Styela clava: one gene and its partners. The main gene of each other region encodes a partner of the protein of the gene in region 2 in a complex. Links are inferred from orthologs where the notes say so. Each region holds a gene or a part of one and is shown on either strand. Other genes may lie near its edges.

Region 1 (7,537 bases), on a different chromosome or scaffold from region 2:
TGAAGAGCTGACTGAGAGTTATCGATCTCTCTCCTATTGGAATCGTTGCGACAAGAAAACGAGAGAAATAACTGTTTGATTTCGGGTGCTCGTTTGCGCATCTTGGATAGTAGTTCGTATAGTTTGAAGGGCTCTATTACGTCACTGTGACGTCGTGTTGATGTAGTTTTGGGATGGTGTAGTCAGGTGGGGGTTGGGATTGATACGTGAAAAAATTGTCATGCTACGCCCACTAGAAGTATGTTAGGTACTAAACTACATGAGACCCGGGATCGCGACGAGAGAACGAGAGAAATAGCTGTTCGATTTCGGGTGCTCGTCTTGGATGGCAGTTCGTATAGTTTGAAGGGCTATATTAGGTCACTGTGGCGCAAATTTTAGATGGCGTAGTCAGGTAGGGGTTAGTATTGACAGGTGAAAAAATTGTTATGCTATGCCCACTAGAAGTATGTTAGATACGAAACTACATGAGACCCATTATTTTTCCTAGAAATCCAATGGCTGAATGGTGATTTTTTTTGATTGTCCTTTTATTTTTTTTTGCACTCTGCCGATTTGAAGACCCTGACAGTCTCATAAAGAAGGGGTTAGCACTCACAGTTATACCAGTAACAGTAATTGATTTTCTCACGTCTCATGTAGTTTCGTACCTAACATACTTCTAGTGGGCGTAGCATGACAATTTTTTCATGTATCAATCCTAACCCCCACCTGACTACGTCATCCAAAAATTACATCATTACGATGTCACGGTGACGTAATAGAGCCCTTTAAACTATATGAACTGCCATCCAAGACGCGCAAACGATCACTCGAAATCGCGCGGCGGTGTGGCTCAACGGGCTAAGCGTTAGGAATACGCTCGCCACCGCACCTCTAATTACTCTGCATGGGTTCGCAGGTTCGAATCCCATGCAGGGATGGTTATGTGCGAGAGGATTGCTGGGCTCCTCGCCGTCGTTGGGTGGTTCACGTAACCGCTGGTCGGTTACGGCTTCCTCCACCACCAAGTCCACGCTTCCGAAAACAAACAATATAACTAATCCCATACCCGACTTGGAATGGTAACCGGACAAGAGGCCGTGGTTCGCCATATGGATAAACCGTCTTATCGGCTTTCCTCTCCCCCGGGATAAATATGTAAATCCTATCCTATCCTAAATCGAACAGTTTTTTCTCTCGTTTTCTCGTCGCAACGATTTAAATAGGAAAGAGATCGATAACGTCAGTCAGTGCTTTATTGTAGGCGCTAATGCCATTTCGGGCGATTGTACGTATATTTGGCAAGCTCTGTGACGTGATTGTGATGTCGTAGTGACGTAATTTTTGGATGGCGTAGTCAGATGGGGGCTAGAATTGACATATCGAAAAATTGTTATGCTACGCCCACTAGAAGTACATTTGGTATGAAACTACACGAGACCCATTTTCTCTAATGTGGAGGCTATTCTTGCAATCGGAGAACTGTACGATACTGTCTAAAACAAAAAATATCCACCAGCATTCGTGAGAATATTTTCTTCCCATTTTGCCATATTATTTTTGTTTTTTTAGTTTCCCCTGTAGTTTGGGTTGTAATATTTTAGTTAAATCCAGTTTATAAAATGTATTCAAGATTTGCAAAGAATTTAATCAAGCCTGCGAGACAGCTGAAGCAGGTTGTTCAACGCGGAGATGCAACACGAGCTGTTGTACAAGTCAATACTCCAGAAACACGAGTAACAACTTTATCCAATGGATTCCGAATTGCAACTGAAAATTCTGATCTACCGACATGTACTGTTGGTTTATGGATTGACGCTGGAAGTCGTTACGAATCCGAGAAGAACAACGGTACTGCGCACTTTTTAGAGCACATGGCGTTTAAAGGAACATCAAATCGCTCTCAATTGGAATTAGAATTGGAGATTGAAAACATGGGTGCACATCTTAACGCTTATACTTCTCGTGAGCAGACTGTGTATTATGCGAAAGCATTTTCGAAAGATCTACCACAGGCCGTCGAAATTCTCGCTGATATTATTCAAAACAGCACTCTTGGAGAAGCAGAGATTGAGCGCGAACGAGGCGTGATTTTGAGGGAAATGGAAGAAATCGAACAAAACCAACAAGAAGTTGTTTTCGATTATTTACATGCGACTGCGTACCAAAATACTCCGCTGGGTTTAACGATCTTGGGGCCGAGTGAGAACATCAAGTCGATAACACGAAATGATTTGGTAACGTATATCCAAAGTCGATACAAGCCATCTTCAATGGTCATGGCAGCAGCGGGGGGCGTCGACCACGACAAACTGGTTGAATTAGCGAAGCAATACTTTGGAGCTACGGAATCCAGTGTAGCAGAATCCCTATCAAATAGCCTTAAACCTTGCCGCTTCACTGGAAGTGATATGCGACATCGGGACGACAGGATGCCATATGTTCATGTTGCCCTTGCAGTTGAAGGAGTTGGATGGGATCACTATGACACCATACCACTGATGATCGCGAATCAAATTATTGGAACATGGGATCGCTCTTCGACTAACGGAGCTCATTTTCCGAATCCTCTCATGCGTAGAATGGCAAACGAAAACCTTTGCGTTAGCTTCCAGTCATTCAATACTTTGTACACTGACACTGGTCTATGGGGAATTTATTATGTTACAGATAACGCAAATGTGTTTGATTGTACGGTCCGTATTCAAGATGAGTTAATGAGAGTCTGTCACCAAATCTCAGATTTCGAAGTTGAGCGTGCGAAAAACACGCTTCTTACTAACATGGCAATTATGATGGACGGGACGACCCCAATTTGCGAAGACATCGGAAGACAGATGTTATGTTACGGACGCCGAATCCCGTGGCCAGAAATGACAATGAGAATCCAACAAATCGGAACCCAGGATGTCAAAGATGCGATGCAAAAATACGTTTACGACCAAGACCCCGCTGTTGCGGCTATCGGACCCACAGAAGCTTTGCCAATGTACACCAACATTCGTGCTAAAATGTACAAAGTACATTCTGGATTATTTAACTAAAATGACTCTCAATTCTGCAGAAATAACTTTAAAAAAATTTAAAATTCTGTCTTTTGCTGTTTTTTATTGAAAAGTGTTCTCAGTTTTGGGCATTTTGATTCTTTTTAGTCATTGGTGGTGATATATTTTTCCTTCTTTGAGTTTTTTGGGTAACTTATTCTGTTATTTATGGTTATTACTTATATCAAAACTCTAAAAGTTTCATAAATATAGCGTAATACAGTGCGAGTCGCTAGAAAAAAGGAAAATTTGTCAAACAGCTATTTATTTATAAAAAGAATAACTTGTGCAAAGATTTTCAAAGGCATACCGTATTTGCTCGTTTTGTAGCCCGGGCCCATATTTATTTTAAAAACTCACTAACCGGGGCCCTTATTCAAACCGGCCCTTATTCAAGCAAGGGCGCTTGTTATTTTTAAAGTAAAATTCTACACAAAAATTACGATATCTTTGAAGACAAATATTTGACGACATTAATCCGTTGTGACAAAAGCGCTTCTTATTTCCTTAGCGCCCTTATTTGTTTTTATGTTCTGTTCACACGGGCGACTATTCAAACGGGCCCTTAATCAAGATCGGGCGGTAAAACGAGCATATACGGTATGTTATATTCCACTTATAGATGCTCAAAATGATGTCCACGCACTTCAGAGCGATGTCTTAACCTAGAAGTCCAAGCTCGTGTAGTGTTTTGAAGGTTAACTTGTGGGATATTGTTCCAATTCAACCTATACCTATACTCATTTTATTCATGATCTCGTCTTACTTTCAAATTTTCTGCTCTTCTAGCGACCATTCTGTATGATATTTCATTACCTGGGTTGGCAAGTTCTGTTATATTAATAGAAAATCTTGATTAATTTTCATCAAATGATTGTATTATTCGATATTTCAGCTTTGAGTACTATTCTGTTGGTGTTATTGTTACAAAATCTCTGATCATTTTTTTTTGTACTGTTTATCTTACTGATAAGATAAGTTCAGATAAGAAGCTAGGTTATTACCTTCCAACTTATCCTAATCTATGATAAAATAGAATCGAAGAAAAGAGATCTCAAATTTATAATAAAATTTGTCGTTCCATATTTAAAAGTATCATCTTATAATGTATTCAGAATAGTAGATTCTTAGATTTGAATATCCTCTGATTTAAAATAACTATCCTTTGACATTACTAGGTCAGCCATAACTCCATATAACTAAAATAAAACTCAGTTTTCATTTGCTGTCAAATCTCCTATTGTTATGTCATAAATATATTATTTGCTCATAATATGTTCCAATTTGAATTCTGAATGCTCAACTGTTGTGCTTTTTTGTTTAACTTAGTTATTTTAGTTAATTTAACATAATTTATAATAGTTATATGCAACAGAAGCTTCACTCAAAGGAGATTCTCACAATATTCAGAAAACTTCAAGAATCAAGAGTGCATTAACTGTGACCTGGCCTGGAGAAATTTCCATAAAAACTGTTCACAATTATCAGTTCACCGTGGAAATATTGTCCTATAAGTGACAGCAATTGTCCTAGAAGTGACACAGCGTTCCTCTGAAAAACATTTGGTTACAAAGTTGAGTGTTCTTGAACTTGTATAGATGCGTTTAGTTGGACATGTGTGTGACCTGTCTTGGAGCAAGTCCTCAAAAAGCTTTTAATACTTTGCTCAGCGGGAATGCTATTTCTCGCCTTGCCTCTGTAGAGCATTTGGTTGTGTATTTTTTCTTTTCGCACACTAACAAAGAAAAAACTTGAAAAACTATTTTTTGGAAACTTAACATCTGGAATCCTCAAAAAATTTCGGCTGAATTTGGAAGAAGAAGAAAGGTTTATTTCCAAATTTTTCGTACCAGTTCAATAAACCATGTCAAAAACCCCAAGCCGACGATCTGTTCTTGTAAAACATGTCGGAAATGAAGATGTGGAGCATCACGTTACTATGCTTGGAGTCAAGAACCAACGAAAAACAAGATCTTCTATGGCAATAGCAGCGGAGTTCTTTAACGATGTCCCAAAAATTGAGAAGAAAAAGCCTTCTGAGAACCCTAAAAAGAAAGAAAAAAGCGTCAAATATGCGGAAAATGAAGAAAAAGACATTTTGAGTGAAATCACGTCACTCGTTCCGACATCTCTACTTGAAAGTAACGTACAATATGGAGGAGTAGATGTGTACGGTTTTAAAACTCCGAAACGAGCTAAACAAATGTCGAAACTAGCGTCTGAATCTGCAAGAAAAGTATCCAGTGCAAAACAATCGGCGAATAATGAAAATAACGATCCATTGGTTGAAAAAAGTAACTCCAAAACGCCGAAGAAAAAATCGAAGACTTCTAAGACACCTTCCAAACCAGCCACAGAAATAGAGCCTAAAACACCAAGTGTTAAGTTCGCTGAAAATGACACCGACAGTTCATCTAAAACGCCAGGTAAAAAATCGAACAACGATGCACTTGATACACCAACAAGAACCTCGAATCGCACAAAAAAATATCTTGTTCAAGAGATGCAAGCTAATCAACAAGTTGACGATAATTCTGACTCCAGTGAAGAGGAAAATAGTGAAGATGAGGAAGAACAAGATGAACGACAAGGTTTGCGAATTAAACTATCTTGGTTGAGTTCATGTCTCATGCGAATCAGCATGGACTTATGAATCGTTTTAGATAGGTTATGATTTACATATTTATCCCGGAGGATGGGAGAGCCGATAAGATTGCTTACCGTAATTATATGGCAAACCACGGCCTCTCGTCCGGTTGCCAGTTCGCTGGGTGTTGTGGCGAACATATTCCTAGCGCACAGCAGGATGTGTTGGTATTTTTTTTTCGTAGTTACCTTATTGAAAAATCGCTCTTGGACTAATTGCCTCTAGAATTTATAGTGTTTAAAGATTGTAATTTTCCTAGAAGGCTAAAATTTATTTCAAAACTTGCTGTGGTATCTATGGCATTTGATCTTTTTTGTGCAATGATGTGCCGGCTTCGCATTCATTGCTATCTGGTAGTCAGACGAAGTCATGAAAACTGCGGTACTGGTAGTCTACTGTTAAAGATTGCATACACCACACATAGGCCTACTACTTTGTTATGGTATTCTTGTCCATATATTTGTGAACTCAACTGTTAATTTATCATTTTCTTAACTGGCATATTTTTCTTAGATCAAACCCCAGTGCCGCAGCCATCAAAAAGAATTGCCTTGCCATCGGAAACAGAGCTTTATTTCGAGGCTCATAAAAGTGGAAGAAAATTGGGTGCGAGTACTTCTGATCGAACTCTAGCACGACTAAAAATACCTCAAATGAACCAAGAAACAATGCATTCTATCTTAGAGGAATTACAGAACAATAAAATCGCGGGATTAAAAAATTCTAATCCGCATATGTTCAGCAAAGTAGAAAAAATCGAGCTTTCTCGCCAGTGGCTGATTCAAGGCTATGAAGAATACTTTCGTAAATGGATGTTTTATATTTTTAACGATTATAATATTCTACTATACGGACTGGGATCAAAACGCCACCTAGTGCATGAATTTTGTGAAAAAATGCTCTCAGAGTTTGATAAAATTGTTATAAATGGTTATTTTCCGAGTTTAATTATACGCTCAATTTTGGCGTCAATTTGCGAGGTTGCGGACGTAAATATCACCATCGGAGGGAGCCAACAGCAGGCTCAAGTTGACGCAATATGTAAAAAATACACAGACAATGGGTTTGTTGATCATTTATTCTTGATAATTCACAATATTGATGGAACAACTTTACGAAACAATAAGACTCAAAATATTTTAAGTCGCCTAGCGTCGTGTCCACGGATTCATGTTATTGCAACCATAGACCACATAAATGCTCCCCTTATATGGGACCAATCCAAGTTATGTCGATTCAAATGGCTCTGGTACGATGTAACAACGTACGAACCTTATAAAGACGAAACTTCATTTGAGGATTCGCTTCTTATGTTGACCAGTGGAACTGGTATTGGTGGTTCATTAGCTCTAAGCGGCCTCGTCCATGTGGCAAGAAGTTTAACTCCTAATGCTCGAGGAATTTTTAAACTTCTCACAGAGTTTCAAATCGAGGAGTCAAAATCGAGTAATTATATCGGACTCTCTTTTTCTGATTTGTATCAGATGTGTCGTGAAAAGTTTCTCGTCAACAGCGAACTAACGCTGCGGACTCAACTTACGGAATTTCTCGACCATAAACTTGTTGAAATCAAAAAAGGTATTGACGGTGGCGAATACCTCTCTATTCCCCTCGATAACGCTACTTTGCAAGAATATTTAGATCAATCACTTTGAGAATGAGGAATTTTGTTAGAATGGAAGGTGATTACTTGTTTTTGAGGTGTTTTCACACTCCTCCAAGCTTTGTTCGCCTAATATCCACTGTTCAGAAACCGTCATTTTCACTCTGATATTCATGTTTTATTTTCACTGAAGTTCGCTGTCATTTTTTGTGAACTAGACCAGAATCTTTTCAGTTCAGAAACTGAATTGATTGATTTTCA
Region 2 (7,525 bases):
AGTCATGAAAATGCACTAATCACTGAATAATTGCACAAACTATTTGTTTTGTTATGAACAGTTCCAATTAAATTTCTAAAATAGGTCAATCATCTCGTACATATAATCAAACTAAAAATGACACTGAATACAATATCCTAAATTTACTTTTAAAAGAACTCAGAACTAAGAAAAAAACTGGCACTAAAATATCGACTCATTCACACTCACTCACAAAGATTGTATCAAATATATTTTGTTAGTCTTTCTCTTCACGCCGCCAACCAAAAACAACGAGCAATTGGATAAAAGAGGCACTTCATGAAATTGGCTGTTCTCATTCCCTCCGATTTTCTTTTCTGTCCAAGAGGATAGATTCGTCTTTCGTTTCGCCTGGGTATTATAGGCTCGTTTTCGATGTCAACCTTTGTATCCACAAGGCTGACGAAACGAATAAACATTCATAAATGTCGAATTGTTTTTTGAAACTGATTACCTGATTCAAATGGTTTAAATTATTTCTAAGATATAAATTTAGGGGCAAAATTCTATTGCCTTGCGTGGACTTATGAGTGCGAATTTTACGAGAAATGAATATGTGCGAGGGAATCGCAGAACTTTACGCAGGCGGTTGGTAACCCGACGAGAATCCTATGTCAGTCGAATAAACGCAAATTCAAATGGACTTCCTGTTGTAATCCAAATAGCAGTAAAGTGCAACAAGTACGCGTCTTTGAATGAAGAAAATTATTGCACTATAAAGCCCGATAGCCCCATTGTCAGGTGTGCGGAATATTAGAACGCTCAAAGCTCGGACTTTCCGTGGGTTTGATCAGTCTATCTTGTATTGCTGGTGAACATTTTGTAATTATCTGTAGGCCTACACAACGATATATGTAGTTGCGATTCACTGGGTCTGTTTTATTCGTCAATTAATTACGACAAGTAAAATGAAAAGTTTGTAAAGTCATATACCGTTGAAAAAAAGCACAATGGGATAATTACCAAACACCAATATCTTCTTCGATTAATAGGCTTTCAACTGCCATCCTGTTTTCACTCAATTAAGAATTGCTTGGCAACAAGACTTCTAGAGGTTGAGGAATTAAGACCGAGTTTTCCACCGGGTTTTCAAAATGAGCTTCCGTAGCTTCATGTTTTTCACATTCCAAATTCATATATGCATATCCTAAAAATAAATTCCAACATGTTTAACGTAGGGATGAATTTTACATCAATGAGTTTTGTTGATTTTAAATTCAAGATAATAGTTTCATCTGATATGTTGTTCTTGCTTCTGTGTCATATAAAATAAAATTATGCTACAGTCTAACGGTTCCCAACCGGGACCCAAGGCTCTCAAACGGGGGGCACATAACAGTTGGAGGGGGCCACCAATTTAGGAGCAAAACTGATTTTACTTCTCCCTTTACAAGGAAACTCTCCGTTATTTCAAGTTTCATTGCTTGACAAGGTTTTCACTTTTTGTGCATGAATTGTTTAAACATAACGGTAATTAGAATCTACAAATTAAAATATTACTATAAATACCAATGAAATTACAAACAGGGGGGTGGGGGCATGAGTAGCCTACTAAAAACCTCTGAAGGGGACCACAAACCATAAAAGGTCGGGAATCAATCTGCTACATTTCCATACAGGCAACCCTCCATAGTCGCAAAACTTAATTATATACATGCAATATTAAGAATTTATGTTATCATTTAGCTTTACTAACTTACCTAAATTTGGCATGCTGCATGTTCTCGTTATCGGAGATCTTGTCCGATACTCTTCCAAAGTTGTTTCGCTCGCCATTTTCTGTATGAACAACCGTGGGTATTCGTGCTTGGTACTGGCATATTCGAGCAATCCTGAGAATCAAAATCTAAAATTAGTAATCGATAATTTCCTCTACCAGAATAATTGTTTTACATATTTATTTGACTTACTTAAGATGCAAGGCGAACTTTGTGTTATCAACCATGCTTCTTCGATAGGCTTGTTCACCATCGCCTGCTTGAGAAAACGCTCACTACTCGACCTTTTTGTTGAAGATATCTGTTTAAATTTTGCGAATTATAAACAAAACAATTTTTAAATTGTAGGCTCGTTAAACGAGCTAGCTGTTCACTAAATTGTTAGGATATAATATAATTCAGTCTAAACGTGTCCCCCGATAAATTCTGTTACGTACAAAATGTAATTTACTCCTCGAGCGTAGATTATAAATAAAATTAATTCATCGTCAAAACCGCCGTGTTGTCTGTATAATGGATGTTTCCTCGGGCATAGATTTCCTCGTTTACTTCGTGACATTGGCCAATCATCACGATGCAAAAATAAACGTAAGAATGCCCCATTTCGCAACTGCTCAGACACTTTTCTCACTCAAACAGATTTTGAGGCGTGGTTGTAAACATTAGGCTACCCATTTTCGCGTTTTCTGAATTATATTCGTTAGTTTTTAGTTGTGTTTCGGAAATTTGAATATAAATCAAATAATTCAATGATCACTTTGTCTTTATGGGAGTTTCAGTTTAATTGCAGTAATCAAAAATTAGTGTAGAAATAGCTGTGACGAGACTAGGCTTAAATTCTTTACTGGTACTTTTAAAAAACAGATTGTTGAATGTTATGAATTAGAATGATAGTTTGAAACAAATACCCAATTTTACAGGCGACAACCCGCGAAACCACTCCCAAAATACGCACCGAAATATAGAAAGAATTTACCGGGGTCAAAGGTCAGAGAAAGGTCCATTCAGTGAAGCGTCCCGGGCCAGAATATTTCACTCCGGCCGTATTTTACCGAACACTGGGATACGCAAACTACCGTACCTTACGGCGTAGACGAGTCCAGCAATCATTTCGCGTGTGATAATTGCCCACGTGATTGAAACCTACGAAAGCACGCAGAGTACAGTATCCAAGTGCACGATGCGCCCAACAAAAACAGGTTTCGCCAAATCGCCCCCCTCGACTTTTTCGCCCTCTTCTGTATCGTTTTCGCCCACCGGGGGCGATATCGCCTACTTTGGGAATCACTGAATTGTATGTAACTGTTTATCATCTAGATTTATTTCGAGTGGATACTGCAGCGGTTGCGAAAATCGCTTCTTGAATACGGTACATCTTGGTACCTAGGCGCTGCGTTTATCGAAAACTTAAGGTATTGCTGGAGCACTGTGGAAAATTTTTCCGATGTTCACAGATAAAAATTGTCAATTTGTTGGTCTAAACCAATATTCCATTTTCTTTAATTTCACTCCGCCGCAAGTGGTAATGCAACTATGATAGAAAATAACAGCAAAACATTCACATGACTAATTTGAACATTTTTTAATTTTTTACATTCCACCGTCAAGAATGATGCAGAAAGACGTGTCCAGTGTGCAAGTCCATTCACCTGATGAAATAACTGATTAGCTATTTTCATATACGACATCTGGAAACAAAATTGCACGTTTTCGAATAATAAGATGAAGACTATCATGTTTTCATGGGAGGTGGCATTCTGTCATTTTTCTCAGCAGTAGGTTAGCCGTTGTTAATACTTTTCACCATATATACAAACTTATTGTTTTCGTCTGCCATCCAATGAAATTGGTTTGACAAGTTTTTGCGTCTGCTGGGCATTATTGCTCTACTTTTAAGTGCCAACTTTAGCTTCCCATAAATAGAAATCATTTCTGAATTGAATGACAAAAAGTTGACATTTTTCCAAAAAGTCACCATCGACTAACACCGTATGTCTTTCGGTCGGTTTTATTTTATTTTAAGATTTTATCTTTGAAATGTTAGTATGATAAGCAAGTTGAAAACGTTTAGCCTGGTGTATCACATCTTCTAAGCATATCAAAGACTTTCCCATTTCCCGAAATTATAATAAAATCCAATTTGTTGACTTTGCTCTCCCTCTCTCCCTGGCCACTTTCAACGCGTGAATGTGTAGAGCAGGGGTCGGCAACCTACGGCCCGCGGACCGGATTCGGCCCGCGGAGTAATATAATCCGGCCCGCGGAGTAATATAATCCGGCCTGCGACGCTTTACTGAACTATAGTAACAAAACAGCTGTTTTGGCGATTATATTCTTCACGTAACAGAATTTATTGTGAGTCACGTTTAGACCAAAATATATTATATTCTAACAAGTATAAAATTCACAATAACTCGCTTAATGAGAATATAATTTAATATAATTAGACGAATTGCAACAAAACGCAGAAAAGTTGATGCTAACTGCAAAGGGTTCAATGGTGCCGAATATTGAAATGGAATATTTTGAGATGCAATGCAATGAGAAAATAAATCTATATTCTCTTCGAGAGATGTATCACTGCTTGATTTTTATTATAAAACGTATCATCCGTTCGGTTATCAACTTTCTGAAAATATGTGCGGCCCGCCAATGACTTACCGTACAACCCTTAAATTTGGCCCGCGAGCGACAAAAGGTTGCCGGCCGACCCCTGGTGTAAAGTATATTCGATGGGGAAGCCCCTTTTTTGGCATGTTACTCTGAAACTCAGCGTGGATGCAGGGATTGGTAAATGACTGAAACAGAAAGGATTGATTGTCTGCCCGAACAGGACATAAAACAACTTCTTTTTGTGGATTTAGGCTAGTTAATTATTATTTATTATGAATAACAAAAGTTTAACTTCTGTGTCGAAGGGATGTTTCGTGTTACCAGCCAAAAAAAAGAAGAAAACAATTCAAGATATAAACGCAGGAAAGTACTTTTCATGTTCAGAGTCAAGCAAAACTCGATGGGAGCTTTCGCAAAAAGTATGGATAGATATGGAATGTAAAATTAGGAATTTACATCTAGATCTTACTGCAAACATACTATCTGATTTGATTGATTTTTTAAAAAATTCTCATAGCTCTAATCGTGAAGTTGGAGGAAAAAGAGCTGAAATCCCAGCTGCTGCTCTTATTACTGGTGTTAATATGCCAGATCATGCTGGATTTTTTCACCAGTTATCAGAGGAAGTTTCGAAAACAATCACTCCACATGTTGCAGTTTTATGCTCCAAAAATTGTTTGAATATGAAAAGTTTAATGCGTTGCATTGGGCAGCAGCTCATATTAGGAGAAGCCGAAGATCTGCACAATGTTTCTGTTGAAGATACTGGGGATCTTGAAACTGACAAATCAAATAATTTTATTTGGAAAAGATCAGCACCATTAACAATGCCCCTACTTGAAAAATGGTTTTCGCAAGCTGATAATTCCTTAGAAAGTAAGAAAAGAAAACAAAGCAAGAAGAGTTTGTCATCAAATACACCTCCCATTGTAATTATGCTGCGAGATATGGAATCCTTTCTTCCATATTTATTACAAGATTTAATTGCAATGTTTAGTACAACTGTTGATACTTTTCCAGTTATATTCATATTTGGGGTTGCGACTTCATGGACAAGTGTGATTGATCGCCAACTGCCCCATTCAGCCACTGTGCATCTTTGTCTCGAAAAATTTCATTCTCCTACAGCATCAAAACATCTTGCTATGATTATTGACAACATTTTACTCACTTCTGGTTATTCATTTAAATTGAGTGGGAAATGCATGCAGTTATTACTTGATGTTTTCCTGTGCCACGATTTTTCTGTAACAACTTTTTTGCACATTCTGAAATTTTGTGTGCTTAACCATTTTTATGAGCAGCCAACTTCGTTATTTTGCACAAACAATATCGCAGAAGCTAACAAGTATCATGAAAAATTGTCTGGTTCACTTCTACAAAAACTTCGTGATTTACCGTCTGTTAAAACTTATTTCAAATCTTTAACAACAAAACGAAAAGAACTTTTGCAAAGTTCTGATGAAGATTTTAAAATTTTAGTGAAAAAAATGTTGGAGGATATTCATGAATTTCATCACTGCTTTTATCCTGTGATGCGTTCATTGTTTTCTCTTTGTAAATCACTTCCACGTCATCCACTGGGACGTCATTTACGAGAGCTGTATTGCGCATGCGATCATGGGCCTATCGTTAATTCGGATGAATACAAACAAGCAAAGATGTTCTTGCGAGTATCTTCAAGGGATCAACTGATTCAAAGATTACAGTCTTGTGTTAAAGAACTGGATGATATGCCACAGAATGCAAGACCAAATTCAAACATTTTTGCCATGGTTATTGATGCAAAGTCAGAAATAAATTCAGTTATTAATGAATTACTACATCCTGAAGATCAAAAAGAAGAAGACTTGCCTCAAAATGAAGAAGATGAGAATATTGCAGAACAAAAGGAGGATGAACCCCTTGAAAAAGTGAAATATGCTTATCAGCTGAAAGAAAATTTGAAGAAAAAGGCACATGAAAAGAAAGTTAAAAAAATGTCCACGTTTGAGAAACTGAGGATCAAAGCACTTGAAATTTTGGATGTCTTGTTTACAAAAATATTACTTCCTCCAAGATCATTTCCGTTTCATGAAATTTTTTATTTTGATTCTACATCAACTATAAAACGGCATATGATAGCAGCACCACGACTTGCAATTCAAACAGCATTGTCAGATCCCAATTGTTATTTACAACAGCCTTGCTTGGATGCTACTGATGGTGTTATTCCACCTTCTGCACCGGATGTCTCCATTGCATACAAATTGCATAATGAATGTGGGAAAATTATAAATTTATATGATTGGTTGGAAGCATTTCATACAATTGTAAATTCTGGCGACAATAATCCACATAGTGATAAAGAAAACAATCAAAATGAAGAAATCAACAAATTTACTCAGGCTCGATTTATCAGAGCTGCGTCAGAATTACAATTCCTAGGTTTTATCAAACCTACAAAACGAAAGACTGATCATGTCCAACGATTAACCTGGTCTCATTCCTGAAATCGTTATTTATTTGTTCATGATTCAAAACTGATTTTTCAGCGTATTCCATTTTCATCAATAATGTTCTGTTTTGGTTCTTGCTGGAGACATTTGAATGGTTTTGTTTAAGGGATTTTTGATAATAAAGCTGCTCAAAAATATGAATTATAAATAACAAATTAATATTTGAAATGAGAAGATGAAATTTCATAGTCGTCAGTACTCTGGAATACAGTATCAAATATAAGCATTCCATGTTCTTGCCCATATATGGGATGAATATACAATGGGCTATTTATAACATTGGTGATTCCTGCATTTATTTTTCGTCATATATGCCTTTTCTCACTACAAAGAAAAAATCTCACTGCATTTTTGTGCTTAATAATTCACTTTATCACTTTTTCTTAAACAGATTGTTAATTTATTTTGTCCAACTTGAAAAGTAGCAAATTTCAATGTCCGATTGGCCTGAAATTGCTCAATGTAAGGAAGAGAAGAGGAGAGAATTGGTCATTAAAGGAACACCGGATACAAGATTGAAGATAGAAAAGAATGACAATGTTCTTCCCGAGGATCTATATTCTTTGACACTGCTGAATTTTCTGGAAGTTTCAGAATGTGGAATCACAAGTTTGTCGAAAGATATAAGTTCACTGTCAGCTTTAATGCAATTGATTATAAATGGTAACAACTTGG
Region 3 (7,395 bases), on a different chromosome or scaffold from region 2:
CGAGGAAAATCTTCTTTTATATAAACTTGAACACCCACTCATGACTGCCGCGCCAAATGTTGTAAATAAATTTTATACATTGAGTCGAGAAAATCATTTTGGATATCCTTAGATGTCCCTTTCGACACAGTTGCGGCATCAAGATGATCTCTCAATACTGTATCTAGGGATGCGGTGTATTCCACCATATCCAAAAATACCCCTCTATTAGAAGAGCCAGCCCGTTCATCGTGCCCACGGAGGGACAGCCCGTGACAACCAATGAACTTCAAAACATCTATCAATCGACCGAGAACATGGCGGTTTTTCTCGACGTTTTGGTTGTGCCGACGAATAGAAACCGCGCGTCCTTCATCCAACTGTGCTGCAATAATAACATTTCCGAATGTTCGGTATTTTACTGCATTGTCCAGATGCTCCATAGAAGATTGATGATCCCTGGCACGCTCGGAAAGATGATTAAGATCTCTAAAACCAAATTTACACCAACGTGAGTCACGGGCGGTAGCAAAAAGTAGGCAATAAAAACAAAAAAGTGCATTTTTGTCCTCGCTGTAACACAACCATTCGTGTTTTTTATACCAAGTTTCTGCGCAGAATGTACGCCGACGCTTTCCTCCGTCATGGGATTGTTCCAGTGAACAATTTTTTGGTTGATAAGGCCCAAGACGTTGTACCTCTAGTTTTTGTTCCAGCGGGAGCTGCGAAAACGGAGTGCGAAGTAGTGCATCAACCTTATTCATTATGAGGTCTAAGGCTAAGAAATGCGAAGCCGGAAAGAAGTGAGGAGCTCAAAAGGAATGTGGAAAATCGAAAGCAAATGGACTAAAGGTCTCTAACTGATTCAAATAGCGAAACAAGCAACAAAAACGAAGGCGAGGAAACTATCAACTCTTCAAGCAACCAACGAACGAGAAGGAATGCGTGAATAAGTCAACACGTTGTTGTAAGAAACGTCGGCATTGTGTCGTCATAATATCGGGGCTAGCCCCGATCGGCCCTGATGATTTAGTAAAAGAAACAGAAAACAAACGAGACAAACGCGGCGAGTGGAAGATAAAAGAGAGAATACGATATACAATGAGCAACCGGGGCAAAATCGGCGTCGCCCCGTCGACGTTCGGCGAAGGCTTTGCGAGCGAAAAATGAACCATATCGGGAGAATATGGCTAGTGTAGACAGTCTGTGCAACCGATATTGAGGTATTTTTCCAATATTTTTTATTATACCGAAAAAACAACCGGGGCATTGCCCCGGTTGGCCCTATTGATGCGCCGCCACTGGGTCATGAACTGTCCGGAATTTTGCTTTTTCAAATATGGTGACCCTAGGTTAGATGTTCACATTGAACTTGGCTGTATTTATTACGTTTTCAGACGTTATTACATCATATATTTACGATTACACCCATTTTCATCTTTTCCGGGATGCCTAAAAAGGGCCTAATCGTGCCAGCTGGTGGCAATTTAATATTCCTGAGCAAAATAACTAGACGCAAGTGCATACATTGGATATTCAACTATGACTAGGGTAATCAGTAGCACCAATATATTCATATTATCGTCTTTTATTAGTGATTAGCCTCCTTTCATTTTTGAAGAGCGAAGGATATGTTGTGATCAAGAGCATGGACCCCTACCTAATACTACGTTACAACCCGCATTCTTGGGTTCACCCTTTGCACCTTGCATGGTCTATCTATAATCTGTTCTATATCATATCCGACTATTTTTAACTGATTCATTATTTTATTAAGTTATTACATCCATTTTCCCCCTTTTTCCTAAATTCCTATAAAATTGCCTTGTCGATCGTGCCTACCTGTACCAATTTATAATTCATGCATAAAACTTCCAGACTCAAATGCATTCATCGAAAATTCACCTAGTATCACTAGCATTTATATTTTATATTTATAGTCTTTTATTAGTGATGATTTATTTCTTTTTCCAAGTACCTAGCGTATGTGGTGATCAAGCGCGTGCGACTTCTTCTAAAACTACGTTTTAATCCTAATTAATGGATTTACTGGTTGCATTTTTCGTGTTCAACATTTAATTTGGCTAATTTTAACTAATTCATTTTCTTTTCAAAAGGTATTACGCCCATTTCATTATTTTTCCAAAGTGCATGAAAAGTCATAACCGGTTCCTGTAACAATTTAGGATTTACATATTTATCCAGGGGGAGAGGAAAGCCATAAGACGGCTTATCCATATGGAAAAACCACGGCCTCTCGTCCGGTTATCATTCCAAGTCGGTTGTGGGATAAGTTATTGGACACGTAGTGGACATAGCGATCGTTTCAATATTATGTTGTTGTTGTTGTTCTTGTTCTTGTTCTTTGACACGTTTTTAAAAAGTCGCTTTTCTCTGTGATGACTGGACCAATTGCTTTGAAATTTTCAGTGGTTGAAGATAAAAATTTTCTTCAGAAGGCTATTACTTTTTTTTACTGCAATGACGGCATCAGAATTATTGCCCTTAGGGGGCGCTACGTGTCCATATATTTGAGCATAGCTCTCTTGTATTGTTTGTTTTCGGAAACATGGACTTGGTGGTGGAGGAAGCCGTAACCGACCAGCGGTTACGTGAACCACCCAACGACGGCGAGGAGACTAGCAATCCTCTCGCACATAACCATCCCTGCATGGGATTCGAACCTGCGAACCCACGCAGAGTAATTAGAGGTGCGGTGGCGAGCGTATTCCTAACGCTTAGCCCGTTGAGCCACACCGCCGCGCCAGGACGGGTTTATTATTCTTCAATACCACTACTAGACTCAAGTGCATTCATCGGATATTCACTCAGGCTAATTAATGTGACTTATATTTTTATTTCTCGGTTTTTATTGTTATTGGTGATAATTTATTGTATTTATCGCGTTTTGTTAGACTTTCTCAACGGTGTCGCCGCTCGATAACCAGCTTTGGTTTTCGGCGTCTCCCTTCACCCTAAAATGCGATTTTTTTTATATATTTCTTTTAAATTGTGTATGTAGAATTCGTATTTTTCAGCATGATGAAAAAATAAATTACTGATTACTGACTGATTACATTCTTCATTTTTTTGAAGTGCCTAGCGTATTTGGTGAGAGAGCGCGTGCGACTTTTAGTACTACGTTTCAACTACAGTATCATTTTTGGGTTTACTTGTTGTACTTTGCGTGTTCAATGTTTAATTTGACTATTTTTACCTAATTCATTGTCTTTTTAAAAGATATTACGCCCATTTTACCCTTTTTCCGAAGTGCATAAATAGGTGCCTAATTTTTAGGTGCCTACTTTCAGTCCGTCCCCTGAAGGGTTACGGTACCGGTATCACTGGAATTTGCATACCGTACCGGTAGTTGTTAGGAATTTTGTCAGTTTGTTAAAGCGTAAATACGGTTAAAGTCTAAGCAGTCTTTCAGCTATTAGAATTTGACTAGATTAGCTTGAATAATTATGTGTGTTTAAAGTCAGATACTACAGTCAGACAGTACCGTACCGGTACCGGTACCGGTACCAGTAGCCTACGGTACTACAGGATAAATGGGAATTTAGATACAGTCTCTGTTGAGAGCCTCAATTTGCGTTGTTTTAGTTTTGTATGATGATTAAGAACTCGTACAGTCCAGCAGTCTGTAACTACCGGTACTGAACTACAGAACTAGATGTAAGATAAGATTATTTTGTTTTAATTTAGTCTATTAGAAATAGTGTAAAATTTTCATTTGCTAATTGTCATTTTTTATGTAACTATTGTTCATTTATGACATTAACAACATGAAAATTTGATACAACCAACTGGATAATACTGTACCGGTAATATGTACCGGTACCGGTATTTGAATAAATGAGACCAGTGGTTCCCAAACTGTGGATCGCGACCCCATCCGATTTTTTGGGGTCGCCTAACTTCTGCCGAACATACACACACAAGTGAATAGAATTTGAAAATTGTATAGTGAAATTTTTGCTGGCAAATACCGTAAAATTTCCAAACTTAGGATTTTTAGCAATATCTTGACCATTTGTTGTCCAAACAGTGCCAGAATGGCTCGATTCTTTTTATAGCTTTTTTGATCATCTTACATTCAAATAAATTGTAGACCCGCTGGTAAGCGAATTGGATTTAGACCATTGCCAGTCTGCGAGAAATTACGTTGGTTTTTTATTTTGTATCTGTGTAGCCCACCGTTTCTCAAATTGTATGCCGCGGCACGCTAGTGTGTCGCAAGAGCTTCTCAGGTGTGCAACGGAGCTTTTTGAAATTTTAGAAAATAAGCTATTCGTGTTACACATTCAGACATTGGAATGCATGCAACGGGCAAGCTTGTGAGACTTGAGTATCCGGTATTAGACTGGTAATATAATTACATTTGCCTTATCGATGTAGTACAGTAGTAAGAGTGATTTTCTACTATGACTGAAATTAAAAGCAAAAAAGGGAGCGACGGAACATCATTTCAATTGTTTCTCAAAACAGACCACACACATCTCATTAACATTTGCAGAATAATTTGTTTAAGGATAACTTTATTTTGTTACAAGTGTGCCGCAGGATATTTTTCATTTGCTTAGTGCCCCGTGAGCAAAAAAAGTTTGAGAACTACTGGTGTAGCCGCTTGGTTTGGAAGATACAAAGCAAAGTTGCTTTATTTGGCGAACGGTCCTTAGTTAGGTGTTTGACATGTTTGGTATTGATTACCAGGCGGTGTCTTGGCGGAGTATTGGCACTGTAGGTTTTGATCAGTTGCGAAAGCACTTTGTTAATTTGCGCACGTGTCCAAAATCTATGAGTCGGCTGCGTGTTTTGCCCACATTGACCCCACATAAAAGTGAACGTTTTCGTATTGCGATATTACGTATTCAGAAGTTTCATACATACTTTCAAAGCGTTCCGAGTAGTCAAACACAAAACCACAACAAGTTTTAGCATAATAGAAGGCACCTGAAAGATGTGATTTCGTTCACGTTTTCCCTATTTTACTCTCATGCTCCGTTTTAATTTAAAATTATTAATGGAGCAATCTGTATTATGTTAACATTGTAATCAAAATAATAAAGACACTGTTGGAATATACTAAATAAGATTTAAAATTTATGTATATTTAGAAGCATCTTACTATCTCCAAATCTCACTATTTCCGAAGTATCATAAGCTTCCTTACAGTTACAATCTACCACATTTTATCAAGTCCGTCTAGTACTGTAGGTTTCGCTAAAGAACCGTTAAAATCCTGATCTAAGAGATTTTTACACTGTGGTTTTCATATCATGCCATGTGTTATCAAATCTTCCGAAGTTCCCCCGTTTTCTGGCGCATTGACGGACTCGTTCATATATTTTTGGGCCAATGTTCATCGTCAACGTCCATTTACAGTAGATATACTGGTACATTGTTCCCATTGAGGTATTTAAAATGATACATAGTACTGATTTCTGAAGTTGCTCAACGTTTCTAGTTGTGGGTCGCGAGTATCTGTGGGCTTTGATTTTATGAAAATTGGGGTCGCGACAAAAAAAAGTTTGGGAGCCACTGAAATAGCAATACCGATGCTGAATTAATGGAACATACAATGGTGATGGGGATCTTATTGGATGGTAACATTTTATGTAATGTGATGAATATTGGAGTATTCCTGTTTTTACCACATAAAAAAAAAATCCTAACTCAGTAACTAGAGCCTCTATTATACTGTTATAGCAATACAGCACACTATCCAAATTCCAAGAATTTCCCTCCATTTGGCTCAATAAAAACAAACACTTTATGTGTCTCACAAAGGTGGGGCGTCTGGGATCACGTTAGATGCTTCATATCGCGCCATGCTTGTCTCAATAATATTCTAAATTAATCGCGGCCGCCACATGACCAAAATTGCTGTTTTTTGCTAAAAACTCTCAAATGCTACGGTAAAAATTTTTTCTTTCGATAAATCGGATTATTTTTTTCCGAGGAATTCAATGATGACGTTACTAAATTGCGCTTATTTGTAGTATTTGGCGCAACTTTATTATACTGTATTTTTACCGATATTGAGGGACAACAATGTCCAGACGTCTCCCTAAGGAGGGGTGTCTGATCATCTGTAAAATGGGTTTCTCTGAATTAGGACAATGTCACCCGACTTGTATAGTGTGCCGTACTGTATAGGTAAAATATTTATGTGAATTTGTCAAGTGGCTTCCTTGTCAGTTTGTCAATCGTAATCCTATTGGAAATCATTTTATTTGTCTGACTAAGGTGGTATGTATGTAATTCTGATTTTTGGATGCAGTCTTCATTTCATTACTAGCCTACTGTCTGACTGTACTATGTCTGTATGTCAGCATGCAGTAATAGTTTTTTTTTATTTTTTGTGCTTGACTGTCTGACTGTATGCAAAAATTTTTATTTTTCATTTTTTTGTTCACCAGATATTCTTTAATTCTGTTCCATCAAATTACACTATACAGCCATACATAATAATGAGCCTCTTGAGTTCAGCACACGACTTAATCAGGAAAAGAATGGCTGGGTTATCTACACCTCAAAATATTCGCAAGGATATGAATCAATATTTTCTAAACATAGAACAGTTATTAAAACGAACAGTTGAATTGGGAGAAAGCAATTCACTTCTTATTATTGGTCCAAGCGGATCTGGCAAGACAACATTACTGAAAAAGTCTTTAACAAACATTAAAAAAGATGTTAACATAGGGAAAAATTTGATGGAAGTACATTTAAATGGTTTAATTCAAACTGATGACAGAATTGCATTAGAAGAAATTACAAGACTATTACATCTTGAGAATACAGTTGGAGATCGCGTGTTTGGTTCTTTTTCGGAAAATTTAGCATTTTTATTGGAAGCTTTGCGGACAGGCAAATCGTCAACTTCTTGCCCTATTCTTTTCGTTTTGGACAATTTTGAGCTTTTTGCTATGCATAAAAATCAAACCCTGTTGTATAACCTTTTTGATATTACGCAGGCGGGTACTACACCTATGGCAGTAATAGGTCTCACTTGTAGACTTGATGTTATGGATTTGTTAGAAAAAAGAGTAAAATCGAGGTTTTCACATAGACAAATATATATTCATAATGGAAGTAATTTTGATCAATATGTAGCAACTTTCAAGGACTTACTCACTCTCAATGCGGATGATATTAAAACATTTGCTGGAAACAAGAATGAGAAAAATAAATTTCTGAAGCAGTGGAATAATTTTGTTGAAAAAATTACATCTGATTCATCAGTGCTTCGGTCACTTCAATTTCAGTTTGATATTTGCAAGGAAGTTTCTTCGTTGTACACTGCGCTTGCACTCGTATTGTTTAAATTAGATCCGTTTGCAAAGCCATCAGATACTGCAGGTGAAATAGTCGATGCAATAAATACATTACATTGTGATTTCAAAGCAA

The links.
Region 1: the proteins of origin recognition complex subunit 3-like (region 2) and origin recognition complex subunit 2-like are in contact, whole or in part, in a cryo-EM structure (PDB 7JK6), measured with the Drosophila melanogaster proteins. The link is inferred for Styela clava from reciprocal best matches to the Drosophila melanogaster genes Orc3 and Orc2. Residues at the interface, in NP_476904.1 of Drosophila melanogaster: Gly10, Cys11, Phe12, Val13, Tyr14, Lys15, Asn16, Ala18, Thr19, Arg20, Ser38, Leu39, Leu40, Tyr50, Tyr53, Arg54, Asn106, Pro108, Arg135, Asp136, Ala142, Arg177, Arg180, Asp308, His312, Gln316, Lys319, Tyr320, Met323, Phe327; in NP_731873.1 of Drosophila melanogaster: Ala331, Ile332, Lys342, Met344, Cys345, Ile346, Leu347, Asn348, Glu349, Phe351, Tyr356, Leu358, His369, Lys375, Thr377, Val378, Leu379, Val380, Val381, Asn382, Phe385, Asp392, Ser396, Asp400, Ile401, Leu402, Asp403, Asn410, His412, Glu413.
Region 3: the proteins of origin recognition complex subunit 3-like (region 2) and origin recognition complex subunit 4-like are in contact, whole or in part, in a crystal structure (PDB 4XGC), measured with the Drosophila melanogaster proteins. The link is inferred for Styela clava from reciprocal best matches to the Drosophila melanogaster genes Orc3 and Orc4. Residues at the interface, in NP_476904.1 of Drosophila melanogaster: Ala217, His250, Gly251, Leu253, Pro254, Tyr255, His256; in NP_477320.1 of Drosophila melanogaster: Lys395, Glu398, His399, Ile402, Lys419, Lys422.

Annotation. Positions count from the first base shown.
Region 1 is NC_135262.1:2,458,270-2,465,806, forward strand, and holds the start of origin recognition complex subunit 2-like, read left to right. Parts: upstream 1-4,508; 5' UTR 4,509-4,890; coding exon 4,891-5,617; intron 5,618-6,186; coding exon 6,187-7,328; 3' UTR 7,329-7,537. Other genes in the region: mitochondrial-processing peptidase subunit beta-like, read left to right, coding at 1,605-3,026. UniProt on the Drosophila melanogaster protein: Component of the origin recognition complex (ORC) that binds origins of replication. DNA-binding is ATP-dependent, however specific DNA sequences that define origins of replication have not been identified so far.
Region 2 is NC_135256.1:21,541,473-21,548,997, reverse strand, and holds origin recognition complex subunit 3-like, read left to right. Parts: upstream 1-4,459; 5' UTR 4,460-4,624; coding exon 4,625-6,844; 3' UTR 6,845-7,242; downstream 7,243-7,525. Other genes in the region: leucine-rich repeat-containing protein 47-like, read left to right, coding at 7,285-7,525.
Region 3 is NC_135254.1:23,097,788-23,105,182, forward strand, and holds the start of origin recognition complex subunit 4-like, read left to right. Parts: upstream 1-4,291; 5' UTR 4,292-6,455; coding exon 6,456-7,395.